Nothobranchius furzeri: one gene and its partner. The protein of the gene in region 2 purifies or fractionates together with the protein of the main gene of each other region. This does not show direct contact. Links are inferred from orthologs where the notes say so. Each region holds a gene or a part of one and is shown on either strand. Other genes may lie near its edges.

Region 1 (3,652 bases), on a different chromosome or scaffold from region 2:
CATGACAGAATTTAAACCTTTCAGCAGATGGAGCGGGCTCCTGTTTTCTCTGGACAGTCGGCAGAGGGGCGGGAGGGGGTTCGGGAGCTGGGAGCGGAGGACGTTTATACGGCGTGATCACAGACGTGGACCGATCCTCGTGTCCGTCTAAATGTTTCATCATAACAGATTATTAGTATTTTACAGATAAATGTGGAATTTCCACAACAAAAATGCAACCAAGATGCTTGCGTTTGCATTTTTCTGGCTCTGCTCGTGTTTATTGTGACCATAAACCTCATCATCAGCTAACTGTGCGTATATATCCTGACAAGTAAGGCAGGATTACTCGTTTTTAATCAGATGCCAGAGTGAATATTTAAATATTATAATTCCTACAGACACGTGCTGACAAGCATTTCTAAAGGATGCAAAATACTCAAAACAGGAAAGATGTGCACCAAGTTAGAAATGTTGAAGCATTTTGAACTAAAGGGTTCAAACCACTTCAGTACTTCTCTTCTTTGCTTCTGCAGAGCCAGAGGTCATGCTAAGGAGATCATCCAACCACTGGATTCTGGGTTCGATTTTTACGAAACATGGATGTTCTTTTCATCTATATGCAGACGACACCCAGGTTTATATTCCCGTTTAACGTGGCCTACCCAATTCTTTAGATCCTCTTCTAAACTGCCTCGATGAGGTTAAAACCTGGATGTCTGCAAATTTTTTACATTTTAATAATGACAAGACTGAGGTCATGCTTTTTAGTCCTAGTGTGTCCAGTGGGCCATGTTCTGCTGACCTTGGTCCGCTAGCCTATTTTTGAAACCAGTCTGGGAGTCCAGCTTGACAGTGATCTGCTTCTGGAAAAGCAAATCAGACGGTTTTTATCAGTTAAGGAGGATCGCCAAGGTTAAGCGTCTGCTCTCAAGTCATGACTCTGAGACGGTGATTCACGCGTTCATTACATCAATGCACTGTACCTTGGTCTTCCTCAGTCTCACCTCTCCCGTCTTCAAATGGTGCAAAATGCAGCAGCACGCCTATTGACGGGCTCGAGAAAGAGGGAGCACTATACCCCAATTTTAGCTTCGCTGCACTGGCTGCCTGTGGATTTTAGGGTCCAGTACAAGGTTCTTTTATTGGCTTTTAAAGCTGTACAAGGCCTTGCTCCGCAGTATCTGTGTGAAGTTTTAGTTACTCACTCCCCGTCTCGGTCACTGAGGTCAGCCGACCAGTTTTTCCTGGAGGTGCCGAGAACAAAGAGCAAGCTCAGGGGTGATGGAGCTCCAAGGTTGTGGAATGCACCCCCAATTCAGATTAGGATGGTTTCGTCACTGTCGGGTTTTAAATCACTTTTAAAGACTCATCTGTTCTCAGTTGCTTTTAATTCAGTTTGAGAATGCATCTGATTTTAGTAGCTTTTATGTCAGTTTGATATGTTTGTTTTTATCATGTTTTTACTTTGTGATGAACTTTTTATCTTATTTTTAGAGTTTTTAGGGAACTTCTGTTCTTTTTGGCTTGTTAAGTACTTTGGTCAGTTTTTATGCTGTTGTAAAGTGCTTTATCAATAAAGTTGACTTGACTTGGATCTAACGTCTGGGAAGAGCAACACCTAACAAGGAGCCGGACTTGACACCACTAGTTCAAAGAAACAGCAAATATGAATAAATAAGCACTAATGAGCAGCTAAAACCAGCACTGACCCTCACTGGTGACGCCATGTTTCACCTTTTCCAGCCTTAATTGAAAAGGAAAATTTAGGAATCCTTGTTAAGAGGGGGGAAAAAAAATCTCACTGCAGCTAATTGGATTTCCATATTTAACCAATTAGCAAGAGGAAGCTACAAAGCAGCTCTGTGCTTATGCACGGTCACACTGGACCGTGTTGTGCTTAGCGTCAAGTTTCACGGTGGAAACGCAGTCAGGTCTTTCTGCACCATTAACCAAAAACAGGACTGAAAATTAGAAGCTGGGAATGAACACGAACACACACACGCACACACACACACACACAAAGAGAAATAAAATAGTTTGGACCTGCAAGTGTGATCATCACTGACGGAAGCGATTTGTTTCCCTTCTGTGGGCTCAAACACCAAATGGTTAATGTAGCTGGTGTGGCCCTCCATCGCCTAGGCAACAAACATGAGAAAACTACAGGTAAGGGAAAAAAAATTCCATTAAATTGGTAGATAAATGTTTTCTGCAAATGTTGCTTTGCTAAGTCTGCAGATCTGTTTCCTGCTAGACTTGATCGTGGAGACTCCTAATGACAAGCGAAGTTTCTGGCCAATGTGCTCCAGATGTTGCGCTACCTTGACTTCGTGCCGCTCCTGAAGATCAGAAGTCAGCAGGCGTAGTTTTCTGTCTGCTGCAGCGGTGCACAATCTGCAAAGAGAGGAAGAGGAAAAGAAAGGGGAGATTTAAAAATAAACAAAAGAGAGAACATAAAAACAGACTCGGTGACACACGACATCTTTCTGCACACACACCTGCAGCCGCCCGGGCTGACACCTCTGAGTCAGAGTCTGTGTGTGGCAGAAACTTGGACTGGGATCAGTGGAAACACTGCCAGGGATATTCTAATTGCAAGCAAAGATAAACACGGAGAAAAACAAGATCGCTCACGCCATGTACGCATGTCTTTGTTTGAAACCCTGTTCCGAGCCAGGGAGAGGACTTTCCCCTCTAATCAGTCCTCGTATACACCAGCGCCTGCAATTACTCACACAATTACACTAACTCACTTATGACAAGAAAAACACACACATATCACCAGAATAAACAGATAGCGGTTCACACATTTTCAGGCGCAGGCACAGATGGACTTGGCATGCTGTCACTACAAACACCCTCGACGTGGTTCAGGTTCTTGCTGCTGCAGCGGACTCGGTTTTACAGGGACCGGCTCGAAAACACTCCAACTCTATGGAGTTGTGTTTTATTTTTTTCTCTTTGTGAAGATGTCTCACTTCTCGCATAATAAAATAAATATACATATGAACCATACCATACCATACCATAGTTTATTTATATAGCACGTTTAAAACGCAGTGTGGGAGCTGCTCACGGTGCTGCACAGGTTAAACCAAAACACAACCAACCCAAGCAACTAAAGCAGAAGATAAAAATACCGATCAAAAGCAGATAAAACATGAGGAATACTAAGATCACATTAAAACATTAACACAATAAAACACTAAAACGAGTCACTGTCTAAAAGCCACATCATAAAAGTGGGTCTTTAAAGGGACATTATGGAAGTGTGACAGCCAAAACATGTACAGAAATAATACATTTCTTCTTCATACATTCTCCTGCAATGCCTGGTCCTGTAGAATGAGCCCTGGCATTTTTACTGTGATTGCCTGTTTTTCTGTAAAATCACAGAAAAAGAGAGATGCTCGGGTCGAGCAGGCTGCTTCATGCACGTTCACGCTCAGGCATAACCCGTAGCATTTGCTATCCGTAGCTTTAGCAGCAGAGAGAGAGGCAGTGCCACTTTGTCGCTGTTCCTAACGCCTAGTGACAAAGCTAGCTACATTTCTGAGGACCCTTAGCTACTTTCTGTAGAACTTTCTTCTAGATATTTCCTGCAAATTAGCAACAAAATAGCCATTTTCACTTTGAACCGTTCTTTGGTTTGACGTTGTTTCAGGTGTCA
Region 2 (3,652 bases):
GTCCTGGTTCCAATCGATGCTCCATACTCAACCCTAGGGTTGTCACAGTGTGAAAATGTAACCCCACCCACGGTTATTGTGACCAAAATTACCACGGTTTTCGGTTTTATCGCGGTATTTTTTTTAAACGTGCTACATTTTCACACAATTAAATAAACCCTGTATGTCAGGAAATATTGTCCTCAGTTTGTGTCTAAATTTTGCCTAAAATGTGTTATTTTGTAATGATGTTGTTTATTTGTTTACATTTTTCCCCTTTAGTCTTTAAAATACCAATATTTGCCCATAACTTCTTATTTTATGTCTGTTTGATGTCATAATTTAAAAATATTAGATCAGATGATACTCAGTACTCAAGTAGCCTTGTAATCAGATACTTTTTTACCCTTACTTGAGTAATAAACCCTATATCAGGAGAATATTGTCCTCGGTTTGTGTCCTTCCAGTGAGCTTTGCAGATGTGGGAAAATGTCATCAGGCAGTAATCATTGTTAAATTCATAATTATTCTCGGAGAGAGACCAACTCTTATCTGCCCCTGGGAGCCCCGTAATGCATAGATAGCGTCATTTCAACATGGCGGTGTCCGCGACACGGTTTATATGCAGGTAGCGGCGCTGCGGCTGCTTTATATAGCGACTCGTTGCATTCTCCCTCAACCCAAATCCTCGGATCACGCATTTTAGCTAAAGCGCTAACGTTAGCTTGCCTTGCGTTGACTGTAGAGTTGTGGGTGATGGTCACGCAGATGTGTCATGAGATTTGAAGCGTTGCTGCCTTTCACAGACACTTTTTCTGCTCGTGCTGCAAACAGGATAGCCGTCTTCTATCAGCTGTCCCTCGGCATTCTTCAGATATCCAAAAGATGCCCGTACTTCCCACTTTGTCTTCTTTGAGGGATAATAAATGTCCTGAGCGCTGCCGTCTCCTCCTTTGACCATTATTTCAGCTTTAGCTTCAAGAAAGTTTTGGTTGTAAACAACAAAGTGCACATGTGCCGCCGGCAACTTCAGCCGATGATACGGTGGCTGGTAAGGGTCACCGCGCCTACACCGCAGCCACGGTAATCCCACCGAGATAATATATGTTTTTTAAAAAAACAAGACGGTTATTATTATTGTCAACTTTTTTTTTTTACCGGGGTTTACCGCTACACAGGTTACCGTGACAACCCTACTCACGTGGGTCACTCCGCTTACCGAGCCAATCTCAGCTGGGGTCTGATTTATCTGTGCACATTTTTCATTTCTTCTCCAGAAAGTGCCGGCTTCCCCCTCACGTCCCTCATCATCCTCCACCAACTGGAAGACAAGATGAAGGCTCACTGTTGCTTCATGGACTTTCTGCTGCAGGTGAAAATGGCCGACCTGGATGTCTGTGTGAATAAGGATCATAATAATAATACATTTTATTTCAAGCGCCTTTCAAAGCTCTCAAGGTCACTGTACAGGACAAAATATAACAAGCAAGCAATACAAACAACAAGAAATAAATGCTAAAAGTAATTCCCAAAGGTAGAGTCGGAGCAGTGCGATGGATAATAGACTAAAAAGAGTAGATGGATGGAGGACAGTTACAGTCAGTTAGCCAGGCGGAACATGTGAGTTTTGAGTTGAGACTTGAAGGTTGAGAAGGAGTTTATGTTGCGGAGGTCGGGCGGTAGAGCATTCCAGAGTTTTGGAGCCGAGCAACTGAAAGCTCTGGCTCCATAGTACTAAGTCGAGTGCGAGGAACAGACAGGGAAGGTGAAGATGATGATCGGAGAGAGCAAGTGGGAGTGACAATGTGGAGGAGATTAGAAAGATATGGGGGAGCGAGATTATGGATGGCTTTAAAGGCATGAAGAAGTATCTTGTAGTCAATTCTGTATTTGACAGGGAGCCAGTGAAGTTGCTGCAGGACAGGGTGATGTGATCAAAAGTGGAGGTCTTGGTGATTATCCGGGCAGCTGAATTTTGGACTAACTGTAGCTTGTTGAGTTATAGGCATACAGGCAGGTTGCACCCATGTTGCAGAGGATGCAGCAGATCTTTATGTCCCACTGTTGGATGACTCCTAATGTTTCATGTAGGGTGGTTCCCATATTTTTGCCCTGACCTTCAGCAGTGCGTTCAAATAAGAAAATAAAGGGCAGCAAATCCGAGTGGTCCTTACATTTATCTATTATTGTTTCTGTATTTCTTTCTTTCTGTTTTCATGTCATTTCCTTCGTTTCTCTGCCTAAAAGCATCCCTCCTTTAGGAAGTGCGTTGATAAGAAACGTGTAAGTACTACAAAGGTATTTAAAAGTAGCCTCGTTGCTCAGATTTCTAGTTGGTTACTTCATCGGTATGCAGCTGAACGCAGGGAGACCGCGAACCCCGACATCTGCGACCACACACAGTCATCCAGCTATCTAGGCTGGGACCTTTTGATGTTGGGAGACCATTTGTCAGTGCTAGCGTGGGCTGGCTCCGTGTTTGTGTCCGAGTTGCCGCGGTGACCTGAGCAGGGAGTTGTTTTACGGCATCGCACTAGTCTGGAACTAAACTGACGCAGATATTTAGATGAGGCGAAACCTGAACGTCTGAAGAGACGGGCGTTTGTTTTTAGGGCGACGCGTCAGATTCACGTTGATTGCAGCTTTATTTTTTCCACCACGGTAAATACGCAGCATGCACCCATTTCAGGTCTCTGCTGGGTGGTTTAAGGTGTGTCCGAGCTGCAGAGATGACCTCTGACCTTAGGCGAAACGTTAGCTCTGCATTAGCCTGCTAGCTAACAGCTACAGGTTAAAATTAGACTAAATCATTCTTACATTTGAACATCTCCACCTTAGGAACAATGTAGAAGGTCATGATTGTTGCTTTATGAGGTCATCAAAACTTTATGCATTTGTTTTTTATTTTTACCGCGGCGTGCTCCCATGTGAAGATGTCATCCCGTCAGGCTACGAGCCCGTGTCCTTCACACCGACCCCTTTCTCCACCCCTGCCTGTCAAAGGTCAACATTTCTTCACAGATCAGTAAAAGATGTGTCTGACCCAACCTTCCTTCCTCAGGTGGGTCTGTTGGACCAGCTCAGCCAGGTGACGGTGCACTCGTCTCCCATGGCAACTCGTCTGCTGCTGTGCGAACACGCTGAGAAGCTGCAGGCAGCCATGGTGCTGAAGAACCACCACACCAAACACGCTGAGCTGGTGAATGGAGCCATCAGCATGGCTCTGCAGAGGAGGAACGTGGCGGTGCCGCCCAGCCTCACGGTGGCTGATGTCTTCTTCAGAGAGGTCCGTGTGTGAAGCCTTTGTGAAGGAGTGGCGTGGTGGCTAGATGACGTTTTGCCGCCTCTCTTGTAGGTGTCTCAGATCTCCTCCGTGTTTGAGTGTCTGCTGGAGGAGGAGGAGCGGAGTCTGAAGGTCAACCCTGTGGATTCTGTGCAGTGGGCCGAGGTGGTTCTTACCATCAACAGCATCATCAAGGTAACCACTGTTCTCTGTGAGGCGTGTGACCAGAGGGGATCCCAAATATCAGTAAAGGTGTGTGTGTGTGTGTGTAGGACATGCTTCAGGCCGCAGGTCAGTACAGGGAGACAAAAGCCTCCATGTACAGAGCTTCTGAAAATGCAGCTGCAGAGCCTGAATACATCCCCTGGACAGGTAACGTTCACCTGACTA

What was found.
Region 1: the proteins of nup133 (region 2) and nup37 purify together in Homo sapiens (affinity purification with mass spectrometry; 4 studies listed by BioGRID and IntAct, with this or other methods). This does not show direct contact. The link is inferred for Nothobranchius furzeri from reciprocal best matches to the Homo sapiens genes NUP133 and NUP37.

Annotation. Positions count from the first base shown.
Region 1 is NC_091741.1:39,616,575-39,620,226, forward strand, and holds part of nup37 (nucleoporin Nup37), read right to left. Parts: intron 2,377-3,652; coding exon 2,304-2,376; intron 2,121-2,303; coding exon 2,026-2,120; intron 1-2,025. UniProt on the Homo sapiens protein: Component of the Nup107-160 subcomplex of the nuclear pore complex (NPC). The Nup107-160 subcomplex is required for the assembly of a functional NPC.
Region 2 is NC_091747.1:67,780,603-67,784,254, reverse strand, and holds part of nup133 (nuclear pore complex protein Nup133), read left to right. Parts: intron 1-1,256; coding exon 1,257-1,351; intron 1,352-3,040; coding exon 3,041-3,265; intron 3,266-3,334; coding exon 3,335-3,457; intron 3,458-3,534; coding exon 3,535-3,634; intron 3,635-3,652. UniProt on the Homo sapiens protein: Involved in poly(A)+ RNA transport. Involved in nephrogenesis.